Bombyx mori: one gene and its partners. The protein of the gene in region 5 purifies or fractionates together with the protein of the main gene of each other region. This does not show direct contact. Links are inferred from orthologs where the notes say so. Each region holds a gene or a part of one and is shown on either strand. Other genes may lie near its edges.

Region 1 (4,554 bases), on a different chromosome or scaffold from region 5:
CCATTATAGAGGTCATACACGCTAGGTGTTGCATGATGGTTTTAGGCGTGCATGCATAACAGACAGGTATAATCGAGTTTAGTTAAAACCATTTGTACATAAAGCTGGTATATATGCTGGCATATTCCTACATAAACTAGACCTTATAAACTTCGATGCGATTGATTTGATGTCTATATGAACTGTATTAATTTAACTTTTTTTTTATTGCTTAGATGGGTAGACGAGCTCTTAGCCCACCTGGTGTTAAGTGGTTACTGGACCCCATAGACATCTACAACTTAAACGCCGCCACCTACCTTAACATATAAGTTCTAAGGTCTCAGTATGGTTACGACTGCCCCACCCTTCAAACCGGAGCGCATTACTGCTTCACGGCAGAAACAGGCAGGGTGGTGGTACCTACCCATGCGGACTCACAAGAGGTCTTACCACCAGTAATTACGCAAATTATAATTTTGCGGGTTTCATTTTTATTACATGATATTATTCCTTCACCGTGGAAGTCAATCGTGAATATTTGTTAAGTACGTATTTCATTACAAAAATTGGTACCCGCCTGCGGGATTCCAACATCGTTGCATCGCTAGATACGAATGCACCGAACGTCTTATCCTTTAGGCCACGACGATTTCGAAACTCAACCATCCATACAAAACGTAAGCGCAATTGTACACAGATTTACATAGAACGATCAGTTCGCCCTATCCATAGTGAATTGCAATTTACAGAAAACTTTGTGGTATTGAAAAAGCTGTATTTCCTTTATTATTAATATTTTCTAGCTATAATTAAAACACAATAAAGTCACTCTTCTGCAATAATATTTATTCTATGCTGAGTTAAAAATGCTACGTCAAGCATAGCTTCAGGATCCAAGAGTTCCTTTACATTGTCGTATTTGAGACTTTCTTCGAATGCAAACATTATGCTAGTATCATCTAACATCATCTTAGATGCCACAAGTGCCAAAATACAATTTTTCACTCGCGCCATCGTTTCTCTTTCTGATTTCCCAACAGGCTGCAATAAAAATGATATCAGCATCATATTAGCATATGCAACAATTTCATGAGGGCATGAGAACATGCATGAGTTCTATTTTCTTAAAACATGGAAAAACACAAAGTTTAGTGAAAATGATATAATAAATCTTTAACTTGTGTTTATCGTTTATCTTTCTTAACTCCTATTCCCGAACACTGCACACTGATAGCATTAACCCACCTGAATTTCATAATTTTCAATTGCATCCTTATTTCCTTCCATAAGAATATCACTTTTGTGTGGACTAATCCATATATATCCATTATTCCCTATTATGACAGATACTGCACATGGTAAGTTGTGAAAATGATTTTTTCTGCGCTTTATCAATGACGGGAATACTTTTATTAAAGTTCCCTGTGAAAGCTGCAAAAAATAAAGTTTTCGAACAAACTCTTAAATTAATTTTTTTTTAGTATTAGCAAGGAGTAGAAAGTTCAACATTTTGTGATATTAATTATTATTAGAGGACTGTATGAATGATTCTATTTTAAGGTATGAAGGGCTATTTGGTTTAGAGGAAAGTCATGTAATTTAAAAATTGAAAAAAAAACATGACAAAACTTCTCCAGCTATTTCAATGGAGAATACTTAATTGGTGTTCAATTAAAAACAATTAATTGTATAAACTAATACCAAATAAAATTTACCTTTAATTACACAGATAGATGCCATGTAGTAAGCGAAGTGTCACTTAAAACAAATAGCCTTACGCCCCTTGATTTTATTTATTTAAACATATAGGTAGTGAATTAAAGCAGATTTAAGTGTTTGTGTAGACTTGTAATCAATTTGCTAATGAAGCATGTTTAATCTACTCAGAAGGATAAATATCATCTTCACTTTGGAGGATTTCAAAATTTAATGTTGCTACATATTTGAATATTTTTAATTTCCTTATAACATTCTTGTTGAACTTTAGAATAGTCATTTTTTATTGGCTTCATAAAATCTGATTACCTTGCCATATTTCAAACTTCTTGTATGCAATGAGAGCGAACCATCAGAAAATACATTCTGTACTTCAGCGCTTATCAAATCACCTTCCTGTAAATGTTTTCTCATCATCTGCTCATCCTCTTCTGAACGCCTTCTCTGGATTTAAAAAAATATATAAATAGTTATCATTAGATACAAGAAGATTGCTTTATATTATGGAAGTGTGCGTTAATTTACCAATTCTCCGCCAGGTAGATTTACTGAAGAAAGTTGAAGTATTGAATCAAGTCGTGAATTGGTATCAACTTTCCATCTTTTCTGTTGAACTTCCAATACTCTTCCGACTACCACATCGCCTATTTCTCCAACGTAACGACTCTTCAATGGGCGAATGCATATAAGTTTATTTACTTTTTGCATAACCCCAGCAACAGATGCTTTTAGGCAATCATCTTCTGCGTAAGTTCCGTGGCCTCTTAAAGTGCAAAATTATTAAATTTATAGTAATAATAATTCTTAACAATATTGTTTTCGCAAAAAATACCGACCTCATAAAATCTTGTATCCCAGTTATGACTTCGCCAGGAGTGTAAAAACGCGGCGGGTCATTATTTGAGGCAACCGAATGATTTACTCTTTCAGATGCGAGTTTTATAGATACATGACTGACCATTTCTAATGTTTTTTTAAGCTCCCTCTTTGCTAATTGTGAATTGTGTACAACGAACTCATAGACCTATAGTCGGATTTTTTATTAGACGAAGTCAACTGACGTTTACTGTGTTGTCAGGTTTTGATGAAATAAAAATAGTGTTGTGACAAAGTGAACGATTGAAAAAACTCCTGAATTAATGAAATTGCCTCGATTGTCTAGTGAATAGTTAGTGTGCCGAATTGCCGATATCGGGTACGGGGTTCGAATTTTAGGCGTGCTTTGTACAACCAATGAGTTTTCGACGAAATATTATGTTCCTATAGTATCTACCTGCACTGAATACCGAGTGTTTTAAACATTAAGAAAAACATTGCGAGGAAGCTTGTAAGACTGTCCTATTTCCAATACATCATATAGTTGAAATTATAGATGTATAAAATATAACAATTATAGGTATGTAATGAAAATAAAAAAAAGTAATTGTAGTTACATACTACTAGTAACATATATTGGAGCACTTTAATACAATTTTATTGTAAAATATAAATAATATTCTTTTATAGTTTGAAATTAATGATTAACTCTTCACACTCATTGTTCATTCATGTGATTGAACGAGAACTGAACAGATGATAAGGGATGAAATACAATCTCACTAAAATGACGGTTATTTACTGAGATTTTGGCCTTTTTGGACGATCCCGAGAAGTTACGTCCAGCGGCTTGGTTTCATTTTCCCACATTGGTGCACTTTCATAGATATTGAACAGTTAATAAACAACCGTTATTACAGGTTTAAACCTGAAGACACACTAAATAGACAAAATAAAACAAATCACACAATTTCACTCCTCGCATGTAGAATCATTGGTGACAAAAAATGTTTAAAAACAAATACGGCCGTACCAATATGATAATATGATGCGATACCATTGCCTCTCTCTCCTGTATTTGAAAAAGGAAATTACAAAATGTCACCTAAATGAGGCTAAATGTCAACATTGTTAGTAACTGTCAAGCTAACAGCGATTGCAAACATATCTCTACCTTGTTAAATTCCAATATGAGTATTTAGATTATGTTAATTAGAAATTAGAATTTATTTTCTCCTTTAAAATTGCCTAGTTTTTTATTTTACGCAATATTTATAGTTTCGGTTATATGGACTATTTAGACTGAATGCACCTCTATGAGACAGAAAAGTCGTTTATAAGTGTAATGATTTCTTGGCTCACACATAGTTCTTCAAAACTTAAATCTTTAAATAGCTGCTATTGAAGTAGGTTTTCAGATTTTCAGCTCCATAAAATGTCGGCAAACGCTGCACCTATAACAGCTACAGATAGCTTATCGCAAGCTTTAAAAGCGAACATTATACCAAATCAGGAATACTTACTTCAGGTACTACAGGATGTTGAAGTGGCTCAGCTATTTTAAATTTCAGAATAATTACAATATAGTCTACATTCTTCTACAGTTTCCATAAATTGCATACTTAACAGAACTAATTACCATAGTTGCAGCTATTGTATCCAATTCTTTTGACCCATTTGATCTGTTTACATACTACATTCAAAATATTATCAGAACCCATACATACATAGCTTACATATAATAGCAGCCCAAAAAAACATGAGATAAGGTCTTAGTTACAATGCCTACAATGCTGTTCTTAATAAATAAAAATAATTCATTTAATGATTTTCAATTTTACAGTATTTCATAGCTGGAAATTATGATAATTAGGCAACAGGCAGCAACTTTTCTCAAGATTCAGTCAAGTTTGTTAATTGTTGAATATTATACATTTAATTTTTGATTCCACTAAAATTTGATTAAGGGCTCAGTGTTGGACTCGGCAGTAGAAGTTTTACTTCACCGATTACGTGGTCTTTGTGACAATGTTGATGCTG
Region 2 (4,736 bases), on a different chromosome or scaffold from region 5:
ACATAGACAAAGAAAGGATTAGGCACCAAATCAAATCAAAAAATTTTTATTCAACATAAATGAAAGTACATACTTGTTGAACGTCAAAAGAACTACCGCCAATTCACAAGAACTAGCCTCCGTCCTGAGAAGAATTAGCAAGAAACTCAGCGGACATGTCTTTTTTTTTTTAATGTTTTTTTTTTTTTAAATATTAGTTTTTTTTTTTTTTAACCGTTCTATTATCACCAGTGAAACTAGCCTGTTTTCGTTTGTGTAATAAAATATATTGAAGAGTGAAAGGATATTTCGTTTAAGAGACATTTTTGTAACTTAATAGGAGCCATTTGAAGTACACAGTTTTGAAAAAAAAAATCATAACATAAAAACTACTTCAGCTATTTCAGTGGAGTAAACTTATTGAAGTTCATTTAAAAATATCGAACTGTTGATGCTAATATCAAATAAAATTCACCTTTAATTACAAAGATAATTGTTGTGGATTTAGTTAAATATGGTTTAATCCCTTAATATGTATTTATTCTTTATACCTATACTACACTATATGCAATAGAGCAATTACTTTGAAGAATTTTTTATCAAAATTACTGCACTTGATCTATTAAAACCTTTATTAGATGGCTGCAGCTCGAAAACTAGTATCGGGCCTAGGGACCGCGCACTCGACAAAGAGTTTGACCTGTAACCTAGTCCATAGCAGCCCACAGAGTTTCTCAGAGGATCTTCTCAGCGGGTTGCGATTTCAATCTAAGGGTACAGTTAGCAAAGCAGTACTCCTGCTAGGGCTGCTTGCTAGTTTTTTTTTTTTAATTTTTTTTAGCCTTTTTTAGGCAGACGAGCATACGGCCCACCTGACGGTAAGTGGTCACCGTCACTCATGGACGTCAGCAATGCCAGAGGCAGAGCCAAGCCGCTGCCTACCATTAAATACTCTCCGCAAGCCTCGTTTGAAGAAGGACATGTATCATAGCGCTCTTAGCAAATACTCTCGTGTTGAGTCCATGAGTTCACCTACCCGTGCGGCAGTAGATGGAATAGTCCCTTAGGATATCAGCAAATAGGGGAAAAAAATAAAACTAAATAGTTACTTATTTACATTAAAGTTCATTGAAAACAGAGAATTATGATGTATAGTATGTATAGTGATGTATAGTAAAATAATTTCTATAACATACGCAGGCTGCAAATTCTCCTGGAGCCACAACAATATTGTCCAATACTGTCTGCAGTTTCGTGACGAGGCTCAAAACAGCTGCTTGATCGGTAGGTGACGGACATAGCTCCGTGTGCCTCTTTAGAAGGGCCTGAAATGAAAATAGGGTGTAATTAATTAGATAAAAAAATAACTATTCTTGTTACACTACTTTCAATTTTTTGAATTTAATGTCATAGTTTTTGAAAGATAAGGCTTTGGTATTGATATGGTAAATAAATATTAATGTAGTGCATTGGTGAGGGTACTTACTTATTCAATTTTTAATTAAAAGAAATAATATGGATATGCTCTATTTTTTTCCCTTTTTTTACTATTTTTAATATTGCTCAAATGTGTTTGTGTGTTACACAACAAAGATAAGACATTTAAAGTTTATTTCATTCATTACGTATAGCTCCATAATTTTAAATAGAAATCAATTTCACTAATAACTAATGCCATATTTTTCCTTTGTTGTCAGTGCTACTTTATTAACAATCCACATTACCCGCGAAAACCTTTTCCAATAACGAAGGGCCAAATTAAAATACACTTATGCTTACAAATGTATTATACCTATATATGGATCAGGGATCCACAGGATGTGGACTGACGCACAGCGTTGCCAACTCTACCAACTTTTAGTGTCGTAATCAAACCTACCACTTAATCTACCAACTTTTGAAGTTATCAAAAAGTTCAAATCAAACCTCCATGAAAATAATATTGAAACTATATATTTTTTTTTTATTTTTCGTAATCTTTCTATTGCTTTTTTACCCTTTGAGGGATTCATCGAATTTACTCGAAAATAGAGGGCATTACAGGTTGATGTACAGGTCATATCATGGTGGCTTAATAAAAATAAAAAAAACAAACATCATGGCGGTGTTAGATCTTAAAACTCTTTCTACATACGATTTCTAAATATCTGTGTTTATACTCTATATCTAACGCGATTCAATTAACAAATAACTGATTGTAATTTTTATAACGTTTCAATTGAACACTATCAAAATGAGTGAAAGTGAAAGTAAAAACGAAGAAAATTCTCCTACTCGAAAATTCAAAAATATGCATTACAATCAAAAATATTCTCAACTATAGGAAAAAGAAGAATATTAGCGGCCTGTAATTCTGTTTTATCATTGGATTTCTAATAAAAATAGTTCAAATATGTCTTCTTATCCAATCGAAAAGTAAATTAAGGATGCCAGATTCTTATTGGAGGGTCTCTAAAAGACTTGAAAAGTTGGTAGATCTACCACCTTGGTATAGTAGGGTTTGTTGGAAACTACAAACTTGTAGAACCCTATCTCCTACCTTGACGAATTTCGAGTTGGCAACGCTGTTGACGCGTCTCATGATTGGCGACATTTTCATTACAATGTCTATGAGCTTCAGTAGCCACTTAAGATCAGCTCCGCCTTAACTTGGTAAGCCGGTCTATGTAGTATAATAAAGTGTTGATGGACGTCAACAGCGTTTACGAAACGAACCAATGTATTGGTGTTTAAATGGTTTCAAAATAAATGTTTTTTGTGTTACAAATTACAAAAGAACGAAAGAATGTCGTAGACTTTTCTAGAATGACCTGACATGGTTCGACCCGGAATGTTGTTACTGGTTACCTGAGTGAGCACGGAGTCGTCGGGAGCCGGTTTGCATCTAGGAAAAGCGGGTTCTGCTAATAAAAGGTCGAAGGGCGGACGAAGCATCAAGACTCGGGGTCTGTTGAAGGGTGGACGCCCCATCCCGCCCCGGCCGGGGATACCGCGTCCACCACGACCGATGCCGCGCACCATTTCAGGAAAAACAATTTATTTTAGGTTAACGTTTTCACTTTGTTTTGCACTTGGAATGTTAATGACATAGAAGTTGTGTTTTCACAAATTTTTCTTTAATTATTTTTACGCGCGAGCTTATATAGTGTTCGAATTGTATTAATCGGACACTTTCTGCGGTCTCAATCGGTCAAATCCATGGAGTTAATAAGTACCTACAACTGGAGTGCTGTCTAATGCCGAGAAATCGGTCTCGAAAGAGAATACTTTTTGGTCGCGGTGTCCTTGTCTAATGTGGTGACCATATAAAATGTATTTATAGGACACAATTATACACATGCATCAGTTTTGAATTTACCTTAAGTAATTCTGTGTAACCCTATGTAAATACAAAACACGTGCTTGCAACGTTTTATTTATGTAAATTCAATTCTAAACATTGCTTCGTCGTCATGGTGACTTTTTTTCGACGGTTTTTTTTGGAAGTTGCTGCGTTGTCGAAAATCTAGCACTGAGTTTTATTACAAACATCATTACCTCAGTTCTATTACTTAAACTTCCTCAAACTCATGTTTAACGTCCGAATACTGAACTTAATTACGCAATTCCTACTTTAATGTACTGGCTAAGTGGGCCGTGCAAATTAATATTTGACACACTAAGTGAGACATTGCAACACACATGGTCTGCGCGTATCGGGTGCTCTTTTCCTACATTCACATCTTCAATTGATTTAAAATTGCTTGTATTTTTACTTCTGTGCTATTTTCATGACACGTGTATATTAAGTCTACTAGTTACATTTTAGGAAATAAAACACAATGGGTAATAAAATGAAATGAACTGAAATTCATTTATTTGTTATATGTAGACAATTAAATAACTCTTAAATGACAAGTCAATACACATAACACAATACACATAGTACTTGATGTCTATTTACAAAATATTGGTTATATTATTATTATTAAGTTCAGTTAATTTTCTGTAGTCTTATAATATAACATTTCCTCTATTTTAAGTAAATTCTTTTTTTTCAACGAAATACATAATTTATTTTAATCAATATCTAAGTGGACCATGAGTATCATTAAAATTTCGCAATTTAAATTTCAATTCAATTAAAAATCGCCATTTTTCTTTAATAAATCTAAAATCGACTTTATATTTACAATCACTATTTCGCGGCTTTTAAGTTTTTGTTTCAATACCTTAACATCTTGTCGTAATTTTGCTTTTCTCGGGGTATTTTTTATTTCTTGCGTTTGAGTACTTGATTCTTCTTGTTTGACCTTTATATAGAACATTTTCCAGAAATTCCAACGTCATATTTACTAGAAGATCCTCCTCGTTGGCTTAACGTCAGGCAAATGATATACATGCTTGCGTGCGACGCTATTCAATACAATAAAAAAAGTTCAAAAAATACTACGTGATGGCTCTTATAATATAAAAAATACATTGCAAAATTATAGTTTTCACGATTGTTTTTTCAAATTTAGTATATGACATAGATTAAGTACAATTTACAAGACAAATGGTATTAAATATTATAATGAGAAAAAATATCTCACATTTTAAAAATATATGCTCACACTAGTAAAAATTTATCAATGAATCTGACATATGGAAGGATATTCCACAAACTGGAGAGGATTCTCGCTTAAAACCACTTACATTAAAAGTGTTCACCATGATTACACGGAAAGTTTCACGATTTTCGAAAAAAAACAAGCCACAAGCTGTATCAGTGCCAT
Region 3 (4,264 bases), on a different chromosome or scaffold from region 5:
CGTTAGGGATGTGCAGTATGTCCGGATCAGATCTGAAGTTATTGCGCAGCAGCATTATATAGTTGCAGTCGTTCTTCACGTCGTTGTACTGAGGAAACGTTTTCATCAAACGTTCCATGAGCGATAGACCTGCAATAAAACGTTTTATTATACGTTTAAAAGAGGCAGTTGAACATTCATCACAATCTGCGAGAATAACTTGAACTTGGCGAACGTTTTTGTTCTAAATGACGTCACAACTCGTGACGTTGCGTTCAGTCGATTCCTGTAATGTTTTCTTGTCGATATTTTGAGTCATGATGGTTGTTTGATATTATGAATGTGTACCTTCTTTTATTCTGTTTCGTTCGGATGTAAGATTTTTTAATTTTTTTTTATTGCTTAGATGATGTACGAGCTCACAGCCCACCTGCTGTTAAGCGGTTACTGGAGCTCAGACATTTACAACGTAAATGCGCAACCCACCTTGAGATATAAGTTCTAAGATCTCAAGTATACCCAGAACCGTTTTTGTGTAAAAATAAGGCAGTATCGAAAGTAAAACTTTAAAAAGATCGGTAGTAAGTCGAAGTCAATGACCGCATCCTCCAACTAGCTTTAATTTCGATTGCGGCTTCACTTAGTAAGAACTTCCCGGTGAATAATGTTTATATTTCCATTGCCGCTTCTTTTTCAGGGACAGTATTATATCTTGTATTGTTACATTTGGTTGCTAGCAGAAAATTGTTTTATTTATTTATTAATTTAGTCAACTGCGCGCTCTTCAAACTGAAACGCACGATTGCTTCGTAGCCGACATAAGCAAAACAATGGTACCTCCCCGTGCGATTTTATTCCTAACTTCTCTCAACGAGAAATAAGAATATATCTATCTATCTATAGCAATTTTCAAATATTGAAAGCTTTTAAAGAAATTTTCTTTGTAATAGTTCGACCGTTTTGCCACCATACACAAGCTTAAATACTTACAGGTGACAGTTATTCAACAGCGTATACAATACATACCGAGGCCAATTTCTTTGGCCTTTTGTGAAATGATGACAGGTCCCAGTTGCAGGGGATCCCCGGCCAGTACCAGGGAACCAGCGGTAGACAACAGCCCGCAGATCGGGATGAGACTGGCAGGCTCGGAAGCCTGGGCCGCTTCGTCGATGAACAGATGCGTTATGTGGCACGTGCTATTCTTACTAAAACTTCTGTTTTCAAAAGTAAATTATTTTTTATTAGCTTCAGACGTATGTATGTTAGTATGTAACGGAATCTTTGAACATGATTTTGACACCCTTCGTAACGTCGGATTAACTCGAAATTTGGTATACTTATTAAGGACCGATGACAATTCAATATTAAAAATTGAGTAAATTGAAATTCTACTAAAAAATTGAAAATAATTTTTAGTACATTTGAATTAAAAATAGTGTAAGAAAAAATTATTTTATTGTAAACAAAAACATCCTTCGCTTCGTCTTTTCCTACAACCTAATTATTAAATTTGTTTTCGTACGTACCCGCTGAATTTGGCGGCGTGCGATAACGTTGTAATGACGATCGCGTATTTCTGGAAAACTGTGAAACTCACAGACCAAAAGTCTTTGGTACTTGTACCGTTCGAAAAGGCATGTAAGCATTCTGGTAGTGTTGCCCTAAAACAATTCGAAACTGTTTAATCACAAATAAGCGTACCATGACAGTTGTATAATAATGAACAAAATACTAGCAACACTGTCATAATATGCGACACGTTACCCAGCGATATTAACTTATATAAAGTTTACAAGTTTTATTGATGCATTTAAATATTCGAATTCTTCAAAAATTGTTTTGGTTTGAATTGTTTTCATAAAGGCGTAAAATATATGTAAAGAAAGTCTTGTTTCTTTCTTTAATTTGAGTTATGTCACGCATGCGCGTGTTGTAAAGTCAAAAAGGCAGTCTTGACCACTGAAGTAGGAAACCTATGGAAATGAAACGTCAACCAAAAATTCGTGCCACTGTGACGTCATCTGACCACAAAACATGGCGGTTTTAGTACTGTACAAAAGATTTCAATGTTATCAGGTTTTATCGATAAACGTTCTTGGCTCATTTTATTTTAAATATTGTTGAGTATTATTTATTTGTAGAATTTATACTTTAATGGGAAGTAAGTAGGTATATTGTTATGTGCAAATATGATATGATTTAAATGGGTGAAATCTAAGACAAGTTCGTCCTTCGAATTTGCCAAGTAAACGATATGATGATTTTTAAAAGTTGCTACACTGATTTTATAAAGTTTTCGTTTGTCGCAAAACATAAAGGTATGGCGTAGTACAGTGCCATCTGCCCATTTCTAGCATGCTAAATGTTATCGTATTTTGAGTACGTGTTTTTCTTAGACTATTACAATCTATTTTAATTGTTTTGCTGACTCTAAAGTCCGTAACACACTACCGCAGCGCACCCCAAGGAAGGTGCGCCGCACCATTTGAATCACTTTCACTTGAGAGTGATTCAAATTTTAAACTTATCAAGGGACCTCGTAAAAAAAAAACACCTACAGAACATTTATTCATTATTAAAAACGTCATTCCTTGTGACTTCCTCTCTAAAATCACTTAATTATTAAATATTTAACGAATTTACAATAGTGTTTTACTCACTGCGGAATAAAACTATTTTATTTAAATAGTTCCGAATAGATTTTGCCAGTAGCCTTTTTCCCGAAATATCTAAACAGAATGTCTAAATATGTTTTGATGACATATTTTAAAGAGGTATTTATGATTAGTGTCATGATCAATAGATTCCGACCGAAAAATTGTGTCCGATTTTTCGGATGAGGGCTCCATAATGAATTTAAATTTATATAGATAATAGTTTTGGGGCATCGAATTTCTTGAGATCCTATAAAATACGTTTTAATTATTATTTTTGTATGTTCTAAGCATGATAAATTATGAAATTTATATAAGCAATCATATTAAATCGATATCAAAGTCAATAATTAATGTACAACCCAAAACAGACGGCCGAACTGACGTGACAATGACATTTGGTGCGCTCAACATGACGGATTTTCGGCCTCATTAGACGGAGACGGAGATATTTACGTATATTCATGTTTCATTTTATGTACGCACTGAAACACTGTTATATTGTTTTCCTGCGAGTTAAAGTGCTGAGTAAGAACGAGATAGATATATGTTTATGTGTGTGCCTTCAAAATGGGTGCTATTTATATAAGCAATTGTACGTATAGAACAATATGTCGTGTCCCTACTATATAGGTCTATGGTCTTGACAGAGAAACAATATGACTATTAAGATTATAGATTTCGTAAAATTTTAATAAAATTCTTTTTTATATAGATAACTACAAGATTATAAAATAAACTTTAAATGTTGTTTCTTTGTTCTTTCAGGTTAGTGTTATAGTATAATAGTGTAATATGGTACGTAAGATAACTTGATTAAAACTAATAAAATAGATTTTTGTTCTTTCAGAGCAACACATTGAAGTTTCTTTTATAACAATACAACATTACCTATATATGAAGCTTATTAATCTTATATCTTATCTTATTCTTATATATATATAATAATGAATTGCTGTTCGTTAGTCTCGCTAAAACTCGAGAACGGCTCGACCGATTTGGCTGATTTTGGTCTTGAATTATTTGTGGAAGTCCAGAGAAGGTTTAAAAAGTAGATAAATATGAAAATGCTCGGAATTAAATAAAAATAACAATTTTGTTTTTCCTTTGACGTGTCCCCCTTCGAACAGATTCCTTTTGTTTGTTTTAAGTTTATTTTATACAAAAGTTTAGATCTTTTATATATCGATTGAGGCAATACGAAGTCTGCCGGGTCAGTTAGTCCTATATATATTTAAAAAAATATTTACACATTTACTTGCAGAGTTGTGTTGATACAATACAATATTGGCGCTTACCATGTTCGATAAAAGGAGCTCGCTCTTAAAAGAAACTTTTCGGAAGGAAACTTTTTGGCGTACTTTATAAGCATCGTGGCCACGTTATCCGCCGCCATGTTGGAGTCGGTGCAGACAAGTATTCGATTTTTAGAGTTCCGCACCACAAGCTGAAAGATACAATTGTTATTTGTTGCTGTAGATGAGTAGATGTGCTTACAACTCACCGGGTGTCATGTGGTTACCGGAGATCATTGACATCACAAGATTAACGACCACATATTACAGGTCGACAAAATGTATGTATGTCTGGGTGTATACTATCTGAAGGAGCAGGCTGCTTCCATGGTG
Region 4 (4,264 bases), on a different chromosome or scaffold from region 5:
CAACTCTGGCCGAACTTAAAGAGATAAACAGACAAAAAAAATTATTTTTATTCCGCAAAAAAATAGCAAAAATGAAAAATAATTGAAGATATTTTTTTTTTGCTTAGATGGGTGGAAGAGCTCACAGCCCACCTGGTATTAAGTGGTTACTGGAGCCCATAGACAACTATGACGTAAATGCGTCACCGATCTTGAGATATAAGTTCTAAGGTCTCAAGTATAGCTACAACGGCTGCTCCACCCTTCAAACCGAAACGCATTACTGCTTCACGGCAAAAATGGGCCGGGCGGTGGTACCCACCCGCGCGGACCCACAAGAGGTCCTACCACCAGTAAGTTTGAACATTATTATGGTTCCATTATCAAAGACTATATTTTATTATACTTCTATAATTACAGGTTTCGCCAAAACTACACTATAAACAATAAACAAAGCGTTTATATATTATGCGTGTATGTTAAATACATGGTAGTGTGTGTAATGTTTTTTTATTGATTTAATGTATTATAAATGCATATTTTTTTAAAAATATCAGCATTCTGCACTCCTCTATATTCTCTATAAGTGTGGGAAATTTCATACTCCTTCGTCCGCGCAATTTTCGTAAAAAGGGATACAAAGTTTTTGCTTCACGTATTAATCAATTGAAATACTCGCTCACAAGCATACAATTCCTGCCAAGCTTAGAGATAAACAGAAAAAATTAAAAATATTTTATTCCGCGAAAAAAATAGCAATAATCAAAAATAATTGAAGACATGAGTGGATGAAGGGGATATGATACAATTTGTTAATTTTGAGAAAGCGGGCAACAAACTTTTGTTGCTTGCACTTTTCTTCGCACATAACTCCTTCGTCACTTGCAATTTCTAAAACTTTTATGCCTGAAGTTTTAAGGTCTAATATGGTCTAATATATGCACATAACACCTTTATTCAATTTAGAAACTCAAAAATCTTAAAAATGATACTTGATCTCTTCATCCACTCTTGTCTTCAATATTTAAATGTTATATGTTACTTATGACGACGCTTGCAGCTGAAAGTAAGTATTGTACTTTTTGACGAAGCATGTTGCTGATAACTCTATTTCTGTAATCTGACGAAGCGTGTTGCGGATAATAACATGTACTTTTAGGTTAGAAATATTATGTTCTTTTTTTTAATAATAATTTTAAATGTTTAGTTTTCATAATTGATGTATTGTGGAAAATTGTTAGGCATTTGAAAGCTATACGTTTTGTTTCATAGTTACCAGTGGTCTGTTGCGGGTGAGGGTGAGAGGTCTGGTTCTGTGGTTTCGTTTGCAGGGGCGGCGACTTGTTGGGGGCTGGACTCGAGGGCTGCTGGTTCTGGGGAGAAGCATTTTTTATCGATAACTAGCTGATCCGGCAGACTTCGTAGTGCATCAATCGAGAAATAAAAGACCTAAACTTTTGTATAAAATAAACTTAAAACAAACAAAAGGAATCCGTTCGACGGGGGACACACCAAAGGAAAAACAAAATTGTTATTTTTATTTAATTCCGAGTGTTTTCATATTTATCTACCTTTTAAACCTTCCTTGGACTTCCACAAATAATTTAAGACCAAAATTAGGCAAATTGGTCCAGCCGTATTCGAGTTTTAGCGAGACTAACGAACTGCAATTCATTTATATATATATATAGATATATAAGATAAGATAAGATAAGATAAGATAAGATAAGATAAGATTAAATCGATCTATCGAACTCAAATCTGTATCTAATTCGAACAGCGCCCCTAGCGCAAACGAAGCGATGCTTATGACAAAGATGACAATTATTGTACGATATACCTGGCCGGGAAGCGGCTTCTTCTTGTTGATGTCCGTGGGCACTGGCCGCTGCTGCGCCACCATAGCGCTCACCTTCCGCTGCGACTGACCTTGGCTGAAAATTGTAAATCAAGCAACTGAATATATCATGCTTTATCAAGCAAGATCGAGGGACTACTGATTAATAATAGCCTTTGCAGCAGGCACTTAGAAGAAAAAAATTCTACTGTTGTAATTGTTACACTTTCTTCAAACAGTTTTTTTCTCCTACCGACACCGAAAGTTCGGTTTTCCACCCGCTGTACAGGGAAGAAAGTGTAACTTTTCGTCCCTCTGTACAGGGAAGAAAGTGTAACTTTTCGTCCCGCTGTACAGGGAAGAAAGTGTAACTTTTCGTCCCTCTGTACAGGGAAGAAAGTGTAATTTTTCGTCCCGCTGTACAGGGAAGAAAGTGTAACTTTTCGTCCCTCTGTACAGGGAAGAAAGTGTAACTTTTCGTCCCTCTGTACAGGGAAGAAAGTGTAACTTTTGTCCCTCTGTACAGGGAAGAAAGTGTAACTTTTCGTCCCGCTGTACAGGGAAGAAAGTGTAACTTTTCGTCCCTCTGTACAGGGAAGAAAGTGTAATTTTTCGTCCCGCTGTACAGGGAAGAAAGTGTAACTTTTCGTCCCTCTGTACAGGGAAGAAAGTGTAACTTTTCGTCCCTCTGTACAGGGAAGAAAGTGTAACTTTTCGTCCCTCTGTACAGGGAAGAAAGTGTAACTTTTCGTCCCTCTGTACAGGGAAGAAAGTGTAACTTTTCATCCCTCTGTACAGGGAAGAAAGCGTAACTTTTCATCCCTCTGTACAGGGAAGAAAGTGTAACTTTTCGTCCCTCTGTACAGAGAAGAAAGTGTAACTTGTCGTCCCTCTGTACAGGGAAGAAAGTTTAACTTTTTCTCCCTGGGTACTGACAAGTGCGCAAGCGCGTTAGTGTCTACGTCTGCTCTCACACACCAAAAATTCTCCGCCATTGTTGTGCTCAGGTAATTTGCAATATTGTGTTTAGTGTAAAAGTGAAATATACAAAAGGCAATAAAATTTAATAGTGAAGTATTAAACAAAGATGAGTTCATCAGACAGTTCTTATTTAATTAGTAGTATTTTAGTTAAAATTAAAAAACAGTTAAATTGTTTTTTTTATGAGTATGTGCACCGCGAGAAAAACGTAGGACATCTCATCTCGCGTGTTTGCCACCAAGTATTATATTCTTATATTTACGACAATATCTGAGAATCTCAAAATTTTAAAATGATTAGTGATTACCGTGGCAACAGTACTAATAATGCTCGAATCCAACGCACCCAATACAAAACGAATCCTCACCTGTTATTGTTGTTATTGTTATTATTCGCCGGAGCGGTGATTGTCAAAGTTTCGAGCGCCGGTAATTTCTTGTCCTGCGGCTTCAGGTTCTTCGGGGGCGTCGTCTTTGTGAACGGCGGCTTGGGCTTCGCGGTTTTGATGGAGGCGTTCCGGCGGAGCTGGGCGGCGCGCTCCGGGGACTCGCCCGCCGCCGGCTGCGACTTGGACCGAGGCCGGGGGGCGCGAACCTTCCTCCTGTTACACGGACCAATGCACAACCATTAGGGTACCGACGCATTATGCGGCTAGTAGCACTACGAGGATAGCGCTAGTTTGCATTTTTTTTTCCTACCTGATAGCCTTGAGAGGCTATGTCAGCTTCGCCCTAACGTGTGTAGGTGAGCTCACAGGGCTCAAACCGGAGTGTTGCGAACACTGGCCCTAGCAAGAGCAGTGCTTCGCAGAGTCCACCACCGGATCGGAAACTCAGTGAGCTGTGTCTGTGGGTTAATTCGCTCGTCGAGCCCTTCGTCGCAAGCGACAGGTTGGAAGAGGACGGTGACCGGTGCTTGTGGTGCCTAAAAGCACCGTTAATGGATCGGGAGGATGTCGAGAATTTACGTCCAGCGGCTTTGTTTTATTTTCCCACATTTGTGCACTTTCACAGATACTAAGCAGCTAATAAACCACCGTTATTACACATTAAAACCTGAAGAAACACCAAATAGACAAAATAAAACAAATCACACAACGTCACTCTTCGCAAAAGTCCTATTATCTCTTTCCCACAAAGTGTTGCCATTTAATTTAAATGTCGCACGTAAAAATTTTACCACATAAAATGGGATACAGGGGCATAGTTAATTAAAATATCATACCCTGGTTTCTTAGCGCTAGCTTCAAGTTCAGGGAAGTCCTCGGGGTTCGGTGGTTTTCTCAGCGGCAACGCGTTCTGTCTTCGGTACGCCTCCTCGTCTTCCCAGGTACGTGTGTACTTGTTGGGTCCACGACTATTTGCGGGTAATAAAAATATGCAATCAGTAATCATTGATACACGAATGTAATGTTTGGGGTTATTCAAAATTCTCCTGCGACACAAAGTTAATTTTCTTTATTATTAT
Region 5 (4,847 bases):
CGGAAAGGAAGATTTTGTTTAACTCAATTTTTAACAGTGATTTCAATCTTAAAGTAAATATAAAAACAAACATGTAATTCATATAGATTTTTACTGGCACTGATACCCACTTAGAACATGTTCATCAATATATGTTTAAAAAAAGGTTTATTGGCTAAAATAAAAATAGGATTCTTAACAAATTGTAATTTGCTAATGTTTATAATAAAATTTTAAATATATTATAGCTTATTAGGGATACAAAATATTTCCTTCTGCAAAAAAAGAAGTTTGGAAAACAGAATTTGATGTTGTCAATGCAATAATTAGGAATAAGCCCTGGATAAGCCATATGAGCAGAAATAAAAAAGAGCATGTGCAAACAGAAAAGATTGCACATTATTAATAGAAAGATTATTGCTAATTTTTGGCAGACTGCAGCTGAAAATTTCAATTACTTAAAACTATTAAACATAATTTTTTTCTTCAAAACAGTTTTAAAACTCTTGTTTTGTCTCCCAATACTATTTATATGTATAAAACTATATTTTATTATACATCATATTATTATATGTATTGTTTTGTTTATAAAAAGGTATAAATAAGTAAATTAATTAATATTTCTATAAATGTCTAATTTGTATATAAAAATTTACTTGTCTAGCTCGCATTTGTTCTGTTTCTGATGGCACTTTCACCAACCAAGACAGGAAGGCACGATCAGCTGTAATTATAATGAATATTGTCGGTTAATATTTAAAAGCTATCTATCTATTTTTATGTCATATACTAAAACATTTTATGTTCTTAATAGGTTTTAAAATTGGTCAAGATGAAGTTACATAAAGAAATTTTACATTGAAAGTCTTTCTATTCATCTATTTGTTAAGTCTTAAGAGTATGATTAAAAGACAGCTCGTGATGATGTGGTATAATGACAATAATGCATAATGACTTGAATTGTGGGATAAGAATACTGGTTAGAGTAATTTCTTATCTGAGATCATTTTTAGACTTTGAAATGGAGTTTTCGACTTCATATCTCAAGGTAAGTAGTGTCAATATTGATACTGTTGTAACTACTAACATCATGTGGGCTGTAATATATTTTATATATAAATCTACATCATCATTTACAAGTCTTTCCAGGTCAACTTCAGGATGCTATGTTCATGATCACTATTTATCAGGTTTAGATATAAAACTTGTTATGTATAAACACATAAATAAATGTAAGCTTATCAGTACTACAAATCATTTGATTTTTTATGTTTTAAAAGATATAAACATACATATCAGAGGTTTCCACTGTTCCTGATCCCAGTTCATATCCTTCAAAGAGCTTTGAGCTGCACAAGGTTGTCTGAAAATTCAATTCTTGATATTAAATGTAGCGGGCAGTCGATAATTATCTAATTTATCTTGGTTTCAATTGTTTTATAGTTTTTTTTTCTCTGAGCACTGAGATAATTCTTCTTATTTGTACACTCTTGACAGAGTGGTCGTGGTCAGTGGATCAGTCGGATCCTGCAATACCGATGCTCTCGCGATGCGACACCATGTGGCGCAGTGTTTCACAGAGTGAGAGCAATCGTTTATGTTGGAGTGAGTCACAGATTTTATGACTGAGATAATAGCATATTACATATTAATGAGTGATTATTAAGTTTAAAAAAAATATCATACCGGCAAAGTAGCACAACAACAGAATCAGCTTTAGCTGGTATAAAGCCGAGTACGAATACATTCCGAGCACCACATGAGTAACATTCCAGAAGGGTTTCGCCAAGTGGCCCGTCACGGTGCAATGCAGCTTCCTTGTGCTTTGCACGTACTAAATGGTTGATGATATGAGAGCCTGAAGTGTTACCGCGGCCATTACAGAACCTGGAAAATATTATTCTTAAGGAATCAGAGTATATTCAATAAATTGTGTATAACATAATCTTCACTGCAATTTCTTTCAGACATTTAATTTTATTAAAATTTTCTTAATTTTTAAGTCATAAAGTACTAATTCTTTATAATCTTTATATTTCCAATTGCTCAGTAGTATGCAAGTGTTTTGTTTTATCTATCTCTAAAGTGTATCCGATCTATGATGTAGCATAGCTGTATTATATACTTCAATATCTAAATTTTGTAATTCAAGTAGGTCATTTTCAATGAGTTATAACATTACTACTTGAATCCAGTAAATTTTTCCCCTGATTTATTCCTCTACTCAGTTGATAATTACCAATGTAGGGCATGCTCAAAGAAGATGTAGGAACAGAATCTAAAGCAAATTCATTGTAACAAAGGCAACTTATTAATCTGCAATCTACATTCCAATAACTGTGTAAAGTTACAAAGATCTAACTAATTTTAAGTTGTTTCCAGGGCCCATGGATAACAGAACCATGTCTGTTTTGAGAGACACAAAAGACATGCCTGTTTTGAGAGGCCACAGTTCTATTTGAGTTGCTATTACTTTCCTAACATTCTAATTTCATTAGACAGATAATCATGAAAGATGTAACAACCCATGTTGATAAAATAAACCAATACTTAAAATAGTTAGGAAGCAGAGGTCAGTTTCATGTATATTGTAAAAAAACGTCTATAAATACTACATTTTTGGGATTATGATACTACTTACCACTTGTTGCATATGTTACACATAACGACTGTGGCCGGGTCGTGTATGCCACAGTATTTACAAGCATGATCTGGAAGTTCCTTGTTGCTGTACAAAGCCTCATCTTCCTCTTCGAATTGCAGCTCCGGTATCGTATTAGTCACGTTAGAGATTTTAGACGACAATTCTATACGTCCTATTCCGTTAACCTACAACGTGATAAATGTCAATAGTTACTGATCTTTCTGTGAGTTGAAGTGATGTGTCTTCGGTGGTGTTCTACATACCTGGTTGGATGAAGACAACCCATGGTCATGTTGTGAAGCCTGTGTCTGGCTCTGAGAGGGTAATGTAAAATCCGTGAACTCAAACTCAGAGCCTTGAGTGTCTGCTCCAATAAAGTCCCCTTCCTCTGTTTCCAGAAACGTGAGCGATTGCGAGCTTGGGTCGAATGCTTCAACACTCATTTTTAATGACGAATTTAAACAAACAAAATTAATCCAAAAGAAAATATATAGAACGACTATTGGCTGATATTTCCATAGCAGTCACGCAGTTATTCAAACGACACACAAATCGTGACGAAAATTCGACATGTTAACACATGGTTTGTTTCCGTATAAAGTTTTATATAAATTGTCTGTTATTCTATTTGTCAATTAATAATTTCAAAGTTTTGTACCAATCAAATCTTTGAGTGCAGTTTAGCTGTCTGTTTTTTAACCAATTAAAGTACAGAAAAACAAACTATTCCAAGTGAGAAAATTTAAGTACAGATAAAATATATTTACAACTCAAAGCTGTCACTTACTATTGCCACAAGACGCAACACTGGGCAATAGAGGCCAGGTCACAAGTACTACTTAATTGAGAAATATGACCGGATAAACTTAAATATACTTTTTTCTCTTCACTGTACCGATTTTCTCACTACAAAATAATCTAAATGACGCGAATGGACCTGGACTAACGGGCAAGATTGTTGTTGCGAGAGCGTTGCCAGCTGGGTTCAAATGCTGCGAAAAGTAAGAATTTTAGCTAGTTATTCATGTGTTCATAATGACAGCGTTATTAAATGAATGCCTTTAAAAATTTTTTCGGGTAAAAAAATTAAAATTTCCAAATATTCGTCAATACATAGATTACAATAATGGAAACTAGATATCTTATGAAACAATCAAGTGTTTGGAATTCATGATGAATCGGAGTGGGATAGTCGTTGTATCACACAATTGAAACCTCATATCCGGCGTACACCAGTTTGGGCACCGTTGATATAGTAAATTTAGTATTTTTTCATTAAATTTTTTTAGTTTATGAGTTTCTTAGGATCTATGTCGGAAAATTAAACAATATCGTTTTAGTTTTCATTTTCATTCAAAAAGACAAGTGAATTCACAATAAATTCCCACCATTTTACTGAGAGGCTACTGTATTTAATCTCATCTAAGATTTGAAGTGTTGTGATGTGTTGATGAGGTGTGTGGTGTGTTGAGGTGTGTGGTGAATTTGAGGTTGATTCATTTACCCTATTTAATTCCATTCCGTAATCAATTTCATTTCATTTTTTAAACAACAGATTTAGTTCAGTCAAAAGCTTTGCTGTATAGGCTATGCTCCCTTTGCTTGTCAAGTAGACGATTCAAATCAAACATTACATATCCTCACATTCCCGCCAAAAGTCAAAAGTACCGTAGTGTGTTGAATTAGTCTAGACCTTCATGTGAATGATCATCAAAAGATGTATTTAAATATTTGTACTATAAATTTGTTATTAAGATTAACAAAATTATTTATTCAACCATCTTAACAACGGGACGAGGAGATAACTTCATAGCTTGATAGATGGCGCTTTAACTGTGTATCAATGTCGCGCCACGAATGCAGAATATTTAGTATCGTTTTAAATTTTTTTTTTTTTTCGCGAGATGTTTTCGAGAAATTCCTTATTTAATTTTCAAACTTGGAGCTATGACTTGACTTTATACTAAGAATATGTAGTAATCTAGTATGTTTTAGGAATATCACCTGCGCGACCACCCACTTCGACCAATAATATCCTGAGCGAGGAAGTTTTAGCTATCCTGAATAAATCAATGACCTGCTTGTTTCTACTTTATTTGACTGCGATCGCGTCGAGCTTTTCGTCGGCCGACTACCCGATGATCTTCAATCGGAGACAAATATTCCTTCGTAATAAGTTGACACTACACAATTGGCATACGTCCAATATTGACCATGCGATCGT
Region 6 (4,934 bases), on a different chromosome or scaffold from region 5:
CTCATAATGAGTGCCCCCCCGGGACTGAGCTGTCCACACTCATCGTCCCCCCCCTGCCCTCCTATGGGGACCCATTTCACCAGCCCCGTGGGTGGACCGCTCCCCCCCTTATGGGGAGCCTGGAACGGGTTAGCGCCTTAAATTGGGCCGGTGGCGGGCCCCTCGTTCTACTGACTGTTGTCCCTGTAGTTAGTTTGCAAGGAAAAAAAAGGCAGAGGACAATACGACGCCGGAGGGACCCTGGCGCCGGGCGTCCTCCTTCAACCGGCGCAAGCCCATCGTATTATGTATATATGTCGATGTCATTTGTAGCCGAGCACGTTGCGAACAGCTCTCTCCCCTATAAAGCTCACCCTGCACCCACATCACCCCCGACCTGTGTGGCAGGGAGCTTCTGTCCAAGCAGTGGGGTTTGCCCGAGGCCCGTTCCGTGCCCCTGTAAGGGGGTACGACAACTCCTTTTATAAATGAACTTTGATGTTGCCGTAGCTTTAAATATGACTGTTGATGTGCTGAAATTGAGTGTAATGACCATGAAAATTTTTTGAAAAAGTATTTCTCATTGTTTTTGACAGACTTCCACATTGAACGAATAACATCACCAGTAGCTACGTATAATTTTTAACCTACACAGGTAGTGATGTTTGGAGGTGGAGCAGTGATACGCTTAAGATCTAGGCAGTTTCCAAATCGGCAGATGCCGAATGCAGATGCATTCACTGTAATACAGTTGAATTACGATAACCTCCTTAAAAATGTTTACACTTGTGTACACAACTACAGACTAAAAAGAAATCTATACAAGAAAATTTCAAATCTGGGTTTATTTATCCAATTTAATACATGTACTAGAATTATAATTTCTTTATAATTCGTAGTCTTTTATTAGTATAACCTATACTTTTACAATTAATCTAGAACATTGAGAACACAAAGCTTATTCATTCATATTTTAAGATAAAACTGAGTGTCTATGCACATTCTCATTAGTTATTCACTTGATTTCTTTCACATATGCATCAAGCTCTGCATCTAATTGTTCTGCAGTAGGTACTGGTCGTTTGCCTCTGCCTGCACCACCACGTCCTCTTCTGTTTCCCCCACGTGCTCCACTATTGCTTTGATTTCTAATTCCTCCACCTCCTTCAAAAATAAAATAATTAATGGATTTCTAGTAATTTGTAACTTGCAAACAGTAAAGTGAAAATGTACAACAAGAACTAGTGGGAAAATATCAGTTTTAAAAAAAGTAATTAATTTTAATAATGTTTTTTTAAATGAAGGATTTAGGGCCGGAGGCCTTTCCAGTTACACCACGAATGCTTAGCCAGAAGAGAAGGGTTTGCTAACAGTTGAACACCTCCGAAAGAGGTCTAACACAATTCATGGGCAGCTGCTTTGCAAATGAATCTACTACCAGATCAGTAGTCTGTCTATGGATTAGGTTGCACATCAAACTCTTTAGAGTTCAATGAGTATGGTTAGTGTTAAAGCAGGTGTCTAATGCAAGAGTTATTGGATCTGATGGATCCGTAATTATGTGTCTAGGACATCAACAGTTAGTCTCTGCTGTGGGTAGAAATAGTCAGCGGCAGCAACAATATGGCGATTATCATGACCAATGGCCTTATTGAAGTATCTTTCCGACAATAACTAGGTGTTTCCAGATTGATTCGACTAAGAGGCCATCTTGTATATGGTGATTTGTCACAAATCACAATGATGTAATTTGTTATCACTCCTCCCATACAAACAAATCCTGGAAAATATCTTACCTCTTTTAGGATTGTTTCGTATAGTACCTCCCACACTCGCACCACCAATTCGATTTCTAGCCTCGGGCCTTAAAGTATTGATTTCAGATGTTGCCAATTGTATATTCATTGCCCGTCCATCAAGTGGCACTCCGTTATACTGTTTCATAGCCTTCACAGCATCTGCTTTTCTTTCAAACACAACATCTGCAGTACCTAAAAAAATTTAAAAATATCTTGTATGATGAAATACTTAATGGAACAAACTAAGTTTTTATGCTTTGTGATACATACCTAAAGATCTACCTGACCGATCATAATGTACAGATGCACTTTTGAGGATGCCAAATTCCGAAAATAGTTCCTTTATATCTGAATCTGATACTCCAAAGTCCAAATTGGATACAAGCAGCTTGGTAGGACCAGTTGTTATGGTCCCACTGTTTCTTTGAAGTTTCCTCTCACCAAAATCATTGAACATATCATGTTTCCAAGTGCTGTTCACATCACCCTGAAAAGGTCATCCTTCATAGAGCTAGCCATGTGGCTACTCTCTATGCCTCCTTTGAATATAATAAAAACTCAAAGCTTAGGCACTAAAATTAATACATTGACATCTGAACCACTTGATAAAATAACATTTGATGTAGTTTACATGTTTTTTTTCGAAAATTAAAATATAGAACTGTTTTATCACTTTCATCACACAGACACAAGACTAATAAGTTATGAAGCACAACCAGTCTCAGCCGTCCATGGAGTCCATTTATTTACTTTTCAACTCCTGAAGTCAATTCTATAAATTGGTCAAAACTGCACTGTAGACATCTCCACAAAAGTAACGTTTTGCTCGAATTCATTACACTTTTATATCAGCATCCATCATAGAATTTTCCGGCAGATGTAGGTAAACAATGCAAAACAAAAACGTTGATGGAGATAACAATATGGTTGCTGGGATTATGGTTTCAAGTTGAAAATAGGTCGGATACGAATAAAATAAGGGTCTTGATTTGAATCAAAGTGTCAAATTTCGTCTAAAACTATTTCAACAAGATGGTCCATATGGTTGCTTGACTTTTTGAGAACAAATTAGATACATTGATGCGTCACATTTGCCCGCCATTTGTAATTTTAGAATCATCTAATTATTGGAATTACCCTCGAATAGTTGGTAGATTTCGTTATGCCTCCACGATTTCTACCTCGTTGTACACCACCAGAGCGGTTGCTACGAAATCCAGCACCGCCTCCACGTCCTGTTCTTTTGTTTGCATCAAATTTTCTTCCAGCACCACCTCCAATCCTTGTCTTTTTGTTGGCTTTTATAATATCATCCAGTGCCATTTCAATTTGATCAACCATGGTGATTATTTGAAATTCTAAATATTTTTTCTATGAAAATTAAGTCAAAAACAAAAACAATCCTTTTAGAACTCTTCCTTCCCAAGTAGACGGTGACAAAATGGCCGAAGAAAAGATTCGTTATTGCCAGATTGCTAATATTAGTTCAACAGTAGATTGAAAAAAATTGTTGAGCTTTAAATTTGGTAGAAATTATAGTCAATAAAGACTATCTTACACATCTGTCTTAGTTTATTTTATTTTACATTTACCAGTTGATTTGGTCAAATCTTTCTGTTTAAAAAATTAAGCGCTTAGTTTTAATCTTTAACTAGGTAATCAAATCACGTAATGCTAATGCACTCAAAATTCAAATATTAAGAAGTGTATTATTTATGGTTCGAGATTTTTGGCGCGAGGAGTGAAGTTGTGTGTTTTGTTTTATTTTGTCTATTTAGTGTTTCTCCAAGTTTAAATGTGTAATAACGGTGGTTTATAACCTGTTTAATATCTGTGAAAGTGCACAAATGTGGGAAAATTGAAACAAAGCCGCTGAGCATAACTTTTTGGGATCCTCTAAAAAGTCCACTGAAAAAGTCTCAGTAAATGACTACCATTTTACTGAGATTATATTTCATCCCATATCATCTCATCTCATTTCATTTCATTCCATTTCATTTTCATTTCATTTCATTTCATGTTATGTTTCATATTAATCAACTTCATTTCATTTCATAAATCATTTTACATATAAAAAATATATAAAAGATTACGCTTTATGGTATGATACCTTTGCCTTTCCAATAATATATTAAGTGTATAATCTATGAATAAAACTGCTACTACTATCTATGGTTCGAATTTTGAATTTTATAGTTTCCTCAAGCTTGTAAACCAATCCACAATTTAAATAAATCGTTTTTATTAAAGTATCTGTACTTACATACTAGAAGCGATTTAAAAATACTGTTATAAAAACAATATGACTGTTGGGGAAACAGGCCAAAATTTGCCATGGTATGAACTATCATTAACAATGATTTAAACAAAAAAATCATAACTCAATATATTTTACTACGACGATTAACACTTTGTTTTTACGCAGGGTTGAAAAATATCGCCCAAAAAGATTGGATGATTTAGTATCTCATGATGATATAATAAAAACAAGTAAGTATAAATTTCTGAAACTAATGATCACATTATTTTAAAGAGACTATCAAATTTAAGGCTATAAAAATTGGACTTGAATCAGGTTGATATTAAGTTGCTAACCGTAATACGAATACCTTATAACAGTTAATGCATAAACCCCCTCTTCGTACCAGTATGTTTTGTACATTGTAACATAAAGTAAAGGATTTTTCTTTTTGTTCTTCTAGAGTACTTTGTTTACATCTTAATTGAGGCAGCAGCCTTCCAACCACTACATCCCTATTTTTGTGAGATTAGGTACTAGCCCTAGTACAGTAATATATGTATTTACTGAGATTAGAATATTGTCATTACAGTAAATCAATTTATGAAAGAGAATCAGCTCCCACATCTACTATTCTACGGTCCTCCTGGAACCGGGAAGACATCTACCATTCTAGCCTGTGCCAAACAAATGTACACTCCACAGCAATTTAGTTCGATGGTATGTAAATTTTTAGACCAGTTAATTAACAGCAAAATTAAGAATCTGATTAGCATTTTTAAATAGTTGGTCATAAATATCGTAATTAAGTTACTTAGATTGCATCTAAGTAGCAATATAATTCAATAAGCAATATAATTCCTTATAAAATATAATTCCTATCTGAAAAAATCTGTATTAAAGAACCTAAAATGATA
Region 7 (2,954 bases), on a different chromosome or scaffold from region 5:
AGCGTTAGTGTCGAGTTTATGAAAATCTTTCATTAATAAATAAATATAGATTATGCATATATACTGCTACATGAAATATGATATGGAGCAAAATGAAGTTGATTTAACTGAGACTGATCAATTGGAAGAAAATAATGTGAACAAGAAGAGATGGGATGAAATAAAATATCGGTAAAAAGACGGTTCAAGAAAGACTTCAGAAGAGTTTTTGGAAGAACCCGACAAGCCACGTTCACTTTTCCACCCTTGTGCACTTTCATAGCCGTTTAACAGTTGATAAGCCACTATTATTACACGTTTAAACCAGAAGAACCACAAAATTATCAAAACAATTAAGACGTCGCTCCTTCATTCCCGCCAAAAGGACTCTTCTTCTTCTTCTTCTCAGTCGTGTCACTCTTGACAGAGTGGTCGTGATCGTCATGTAGTGTTGGAAGGGGCAGACTTGATGCGTCTCACGATGTCGCGCCATCTCTCCCTGCTCGAGGCCATTCTACTGCACTCATTTAGGGGACCTCCCACTGCAGTTTTAATTTGGTCGGTACACCGCATTGGTGGCCTCCCGCGCGGTCTTGTACCATCAACGCTTCCCTGTACAACGACTCAAAAGGACTCAGTGCTGTCTAAATGCCGTGTAATTTGAACATTTTGAACCAATAAACAAAACATATGTATATTTGTTTTGTCCATACTTAGTGTAAGCGGATAATATTACTGGTGATAAGACGTCATGTGAGTCCGCACGCGTAGGTACCACCACCCTACCTATTTCTGCCGTGAAGCAGTAATGCGTTTCGGTTTGAAGGAGAGGGCAGCCGTTGTGAGAGACCTTAGAACTCATCTCAAGGTGGGTGGCGGCATTTACGTTGTAGATGTCTATGGGCTCTGGTAACCACTTAACAGCAGGTGGACCATGCGCTCGTCCACCTATTTAAGTAAAAAAAATATACATTGTAATTCAAACCTTATGAATTCATCCAATCTATTCTGTGTTATTGGATGCTCATACTTTGTATGCATATAATAATTTAAAATCTTATAACCTCATGGCATCACAAGAAACCGATTGCCATACTGAAAAAAATTAAAGAAAAGGCAAGTAATTAAGAGTTAAATTTTATTTTATAGCAAATTACAATCATGAGTTAAGAAATGCACTTTTTTCTTCATAAAATAACTGGTCGTTTTTTAATTGATACTCGAATGTAACACAATAATAATTATTACAACTTTTGTAATGTTATTTGATTATATTGTATCTGTATCAATTTTGTTTAAAGTAACTTATTAAAGAACATTTTCAGTTTTCTTTACTATAAATTCCTTTTAATAATTTCTAAGAATATTCCTTTGAACTTTAGAATCATTAAAAAGAAATGAAAAAGTGAATTACATAACTATTTGAAACCTTTTAATACTCTAACATCTTCATTTAAGAATATCTTTCGTTTTGTGCAGTGGAATCTGATTATATAATTTTTATCCATTGACAATCCATTTTGAAAGTGCGATCAGGAATATAACATACCCAATATAAAATTTAACATCAAAGGTTTTTATTTATATCTGCTGCCAAACTTGCACTGCGAACATTGAATACCTATGCTAATAGTTGAACACTAGTTTGGTTTATGTGTAGGTATTTTATTGTACATAGAAAGTTAAGTCTCAGCTTATACACATTATCGCAGACCCTCTGACTAAATTATTTTGGTATTTTTTTTATATATTCCTGATAATGAATGTTGAAAAATAAGAACAAGACACCCATTCCCATACTTAGCTCAGCAGTGTTCAAATGCATACAGTCTCTGTCGCACTCAAGAATGTTCCTTAACTTAAAATGAGACAAACTATGGTAATCAGATTACAATTATTTTTATCGTCTCTTCTTATGTGATTTAGTGGGTCCCTTGACGAAGCACCAATCAACTGATATCGCTTGGCCGAGTATATCTGCGCCATCCAATGCTTCACGTGCACTCTGCGATCACAACATTGATTTTATTAGTTTCTTTTCTATATTATGAATTCATAGCCAGCCATTGCAAAGGACCGAAGTCTTTGAGCAAAATTAAACTAAGCCCACACATGCTGATCTCATTGATAAAATGGTAATGGGATTATAAAGGAGTACAATATTATAAAATAGAAGCTGTATTAATGTGTAAAAAGGAAATTACTTTAAAATTATTATGAATTTTAAATAAGTTCATAATAGTTTTTATGTAAGTTCTTAAGAACATTTCATCTCAATAGACTTCTTCTTTGACTTCAAACGTGAGTAACAACAATTTATAGGTTCCAATAATCATTTTGTACCTCTTATTGGACATCCTTAGCAATGAAACAAAACAAACTTTAACAATTAAAACTTTTTTTTTTTTTTTTTTTTTTTTTTTATTGCCCTTGTAGGCAGACGAGCATACGGCCCACCTGATGGTGAGTGGTTACCGTCGCCCATGGACTTCAGCAAACTGGTTTCAATATTTGACTATTTTCATATTAATTGCTTTGCAACTTATGTAATCCAGGACGAATGAATAACATTGTGTAATAAAATCATATCTGAAAATATCATAATATGGATAAATACTAGTAATAGGGCTTGTTGTGAGTTCGCATGGGTAGGTACTATCGCCCCGTCTAGGTCTGCTGTGAAGCAGTAATATGGTTCGACTTGAAGTCATGTTTCAACTCATGTTACCTGTTAGATGGCGTATTTTCATTGTTGGTGTCTATGGACTACAGTAACCATTATAATCAAGCGGGCCGTGAATTCTTTCATCCAAACAAAGCAATTAAAAAAGATACATACGAAGTTTAAGATGTATACAGTGGATATCTTTAAACGAGCAATTCTTGTATATTAATATATATGTATATAATTTGAATCTCGGAAACGGCTCCAACGATTTTCATATAACTTAGTATACAGGGGATTTCGGGGACGA

Evidence for each region.
Region 1: the proteins of regulator of nonsense transcripts 1 (region 5) and exosome complex component RRP4 purify together in Homo sapiens (affinity purification with western blotting; 3 studies listed by BioGRID and IntAct, with this or other methods). This does not show direct contact. The link is inferred for Bombyx mori from reciprocal best matches to the Homo sapiens genes UPF1 and EXOSC2.
Region 2: the proteins of regulator of nonsense transcripts 1 (region 5) and interleukin enhancer binding factor purify together in Homo sapiens (affinity purification with mass spectrometry; 3 studies listed by BioGRID and IntAct, counting the BioPlex papers as one, with this or other methods). This does not show direct contact. The link is inferred for Bombyx mori from reciprocal best matches to the Homo sapiens genes UPF1 and ILF2.
Region 3: the proteins of regulator of nonsense transcripts 1 (region 5) and RNA helicase Mov10l1 purify together in Homo sapiens (affinity purification with mass spectrometry; 3 studies listed by BioGRID and IntAct, with this or other methods). This does not show direct contact. The link is inferred for Bombyx mori from reciprocal best matches to the Homo sapiens genes UPF1 and MOV10.
Region 4: the proteins of regulator of nonsense transcripts 1 (region 5) and protein CASC3 purify together in Homo sapiens (co-immunoprecipitation; 5 studies listed by BioGRID and IntAct, with this or other methods). This does not show direct contact. The link is inferred for Bombyx mori from reciprocal best matches to the Homo sapiens genes UPF1 and CASC3.
Region 6: the proteins of regulator of nonsense transcripts 1 (region 5) and ALY purify together in Homo sapiens (co-immunoprecipitation; 3 studies listed by BioGRID and IntAct, with this or other methods). This does not show direct contact. The link is inferred for Bombyx mori from reciprocal best matches to the Homo sapiens genes UPF1 and ALYREF.
Region 7: the proteins of regulator of nonsense transcripts 1 (region 5) and Y14 purify together in Homo sapiens (co-immunoprecipitation; 7 studies listed by BioGRID and IntAct, with this or other methods). This does not show direct contact. The link is inferred for Bombyx mori from reciprocal best matches to the Homo sapiens genes UPF1 and RBM8A.

What each region holds. Positions count from the first base shown.
Region 1 is NC_085121.1:5,598,599-5,603,152, reverse strand, and holds exosome complex component RRP4, read right to left. Parts: upstream 2,796-4,554; 5' UTR 2,660-2,795; coding exon 2,535-2,659; intron 2,462-2,534; coding exon 2,224-2,461; intron 2,143-2,223; coding exon 2,008-2,142; intron 1,414-2,007; coding exon 1,228-1,413; intron 1,024-1,227; coding exon 808-1,023; 3' UTR 807-807; downstream 1-806. Other genes in the region: mediator of RNA polymerase II transcription subunit 18, read left to right, coding at 3,950-4,042, 4,482-4,554. UniProt on the Homo sapiens protein: Non-catalytic component of the RNA exosome complex which has 3'->5' exoribonuclease activity and participates in a multitude of cellular RNA processing and degradation events.
Region 2 is NC_085130.1:10,885,066-10,889,801, reverse strand, and holds the start of interleukin enhancer binding factor, read right to left. Parts: upstream 3,238-4,736; 5' UTR 3,001-3,237; coding exon 2,827-3,000; intron 1,305-2,826; coding exon 1,176-1,304; intron 1-1,175. UniProt on the Homo sapiens protein: Chromatin-interacting protein that forms a stable heterodimer with interleukin enhancer-binding factor 3/ILF3 and plays a role in several biological processes including transcription, innate immunity or cell growth.
Region 3 is NC_085131.1:8,801,731-8,805,994, reverse strand, and holds part of RNA helicase Mov10l1, read right to left. Parts: intron 4,084-4,264; coding exon 3,935-4,083; intron 1,644-3,934; coding exon 1,509-1,643; intron 1,197-1,508; coding exon 1,006-1,196; intron 130-1,005; coding exon 1-129.
Region 4 is NC_085126.1:2,182,401-2,186,664, forward strand, and holds part of protein CASC3, read right to left. Parts: intron 4,154-4,264; coding exon 4,022-4,153; intron 3,399-4,021; coding exon 3,165-3,398; intron 1,914-3,164; coding exon 1,820-1,913; intron 1,353-1,819; coding exon 1,256-1,352; intron 1-1,255. UniProt on the Homo sapiens protein: Required for pre-mRNA splicing as component of the spliceosome. Core component of the splicing-dependent multiprotein exon junction complex (EJC) deposited at splice junctions on mRNAs.
Region 5 is NC_085127.1:8,613,701-8,618,547, reverse strand, and holds the start of regulator of nonsense transcripts 1, read right to left. Parts: upstream 3,369-4,847; 5' UTR 3,067-3,368; coding exon 2,887-3,066; intron 2,809-2,886; coding exon 2,621-2,808; intron 1,867-2,620; coding exon 1,666-1,866; intron 1,343-1,665; coding exon 1,272-1,342; intron 704-1,271; coding exon 636-703; intron 1-635. UniProt on the Homo sapiens protein: RNA-dependent helicase required for nonsense-mediated decay (NMD) of aberrant mRNAs containing premature stop codons and modulates the expression level of normal mRNAs.
Region 6 is NC_085114.1:10,511,797-10,516,730, forward strand, and holds ALY, read right to left. Parts: upstream 3,177-4,934; 5' UTR 3,120-3,176; coding exon 2,916-3,119; intron 2,266-2,915; coding exon 2,049-2,265; intron 1,971-2,048; coding exon 1,776-1,970; intron 1,144-1,775; coding exon 995-1,143; 3' UTR 891-994; downstream 1-890. Other genes in the region: replication factor C (activator 1) 5, read left to right, coding at 4,081-4,115, 4,204-4,268, 4,610-4,737. UniProt on the Homo sapiens protein: Functions as an mRNA export adapter; component of the transcription/export (TREX) complex which is thought to couple mRNA transcription, processing and nuclear export, and specifically associates with spliced mRNA and not with unspliced pre-mRNA.
Region 7 is NC_085108.1:4,109,106-4,112,059, forward strand, and holds the end of Y14 (RNA binding motif protein Y14), read right to left. Parts: intron 1,985-2,954; coding exon 1,880-1,984; 3' UTR 1,106-1,879; downstream 1-1,105.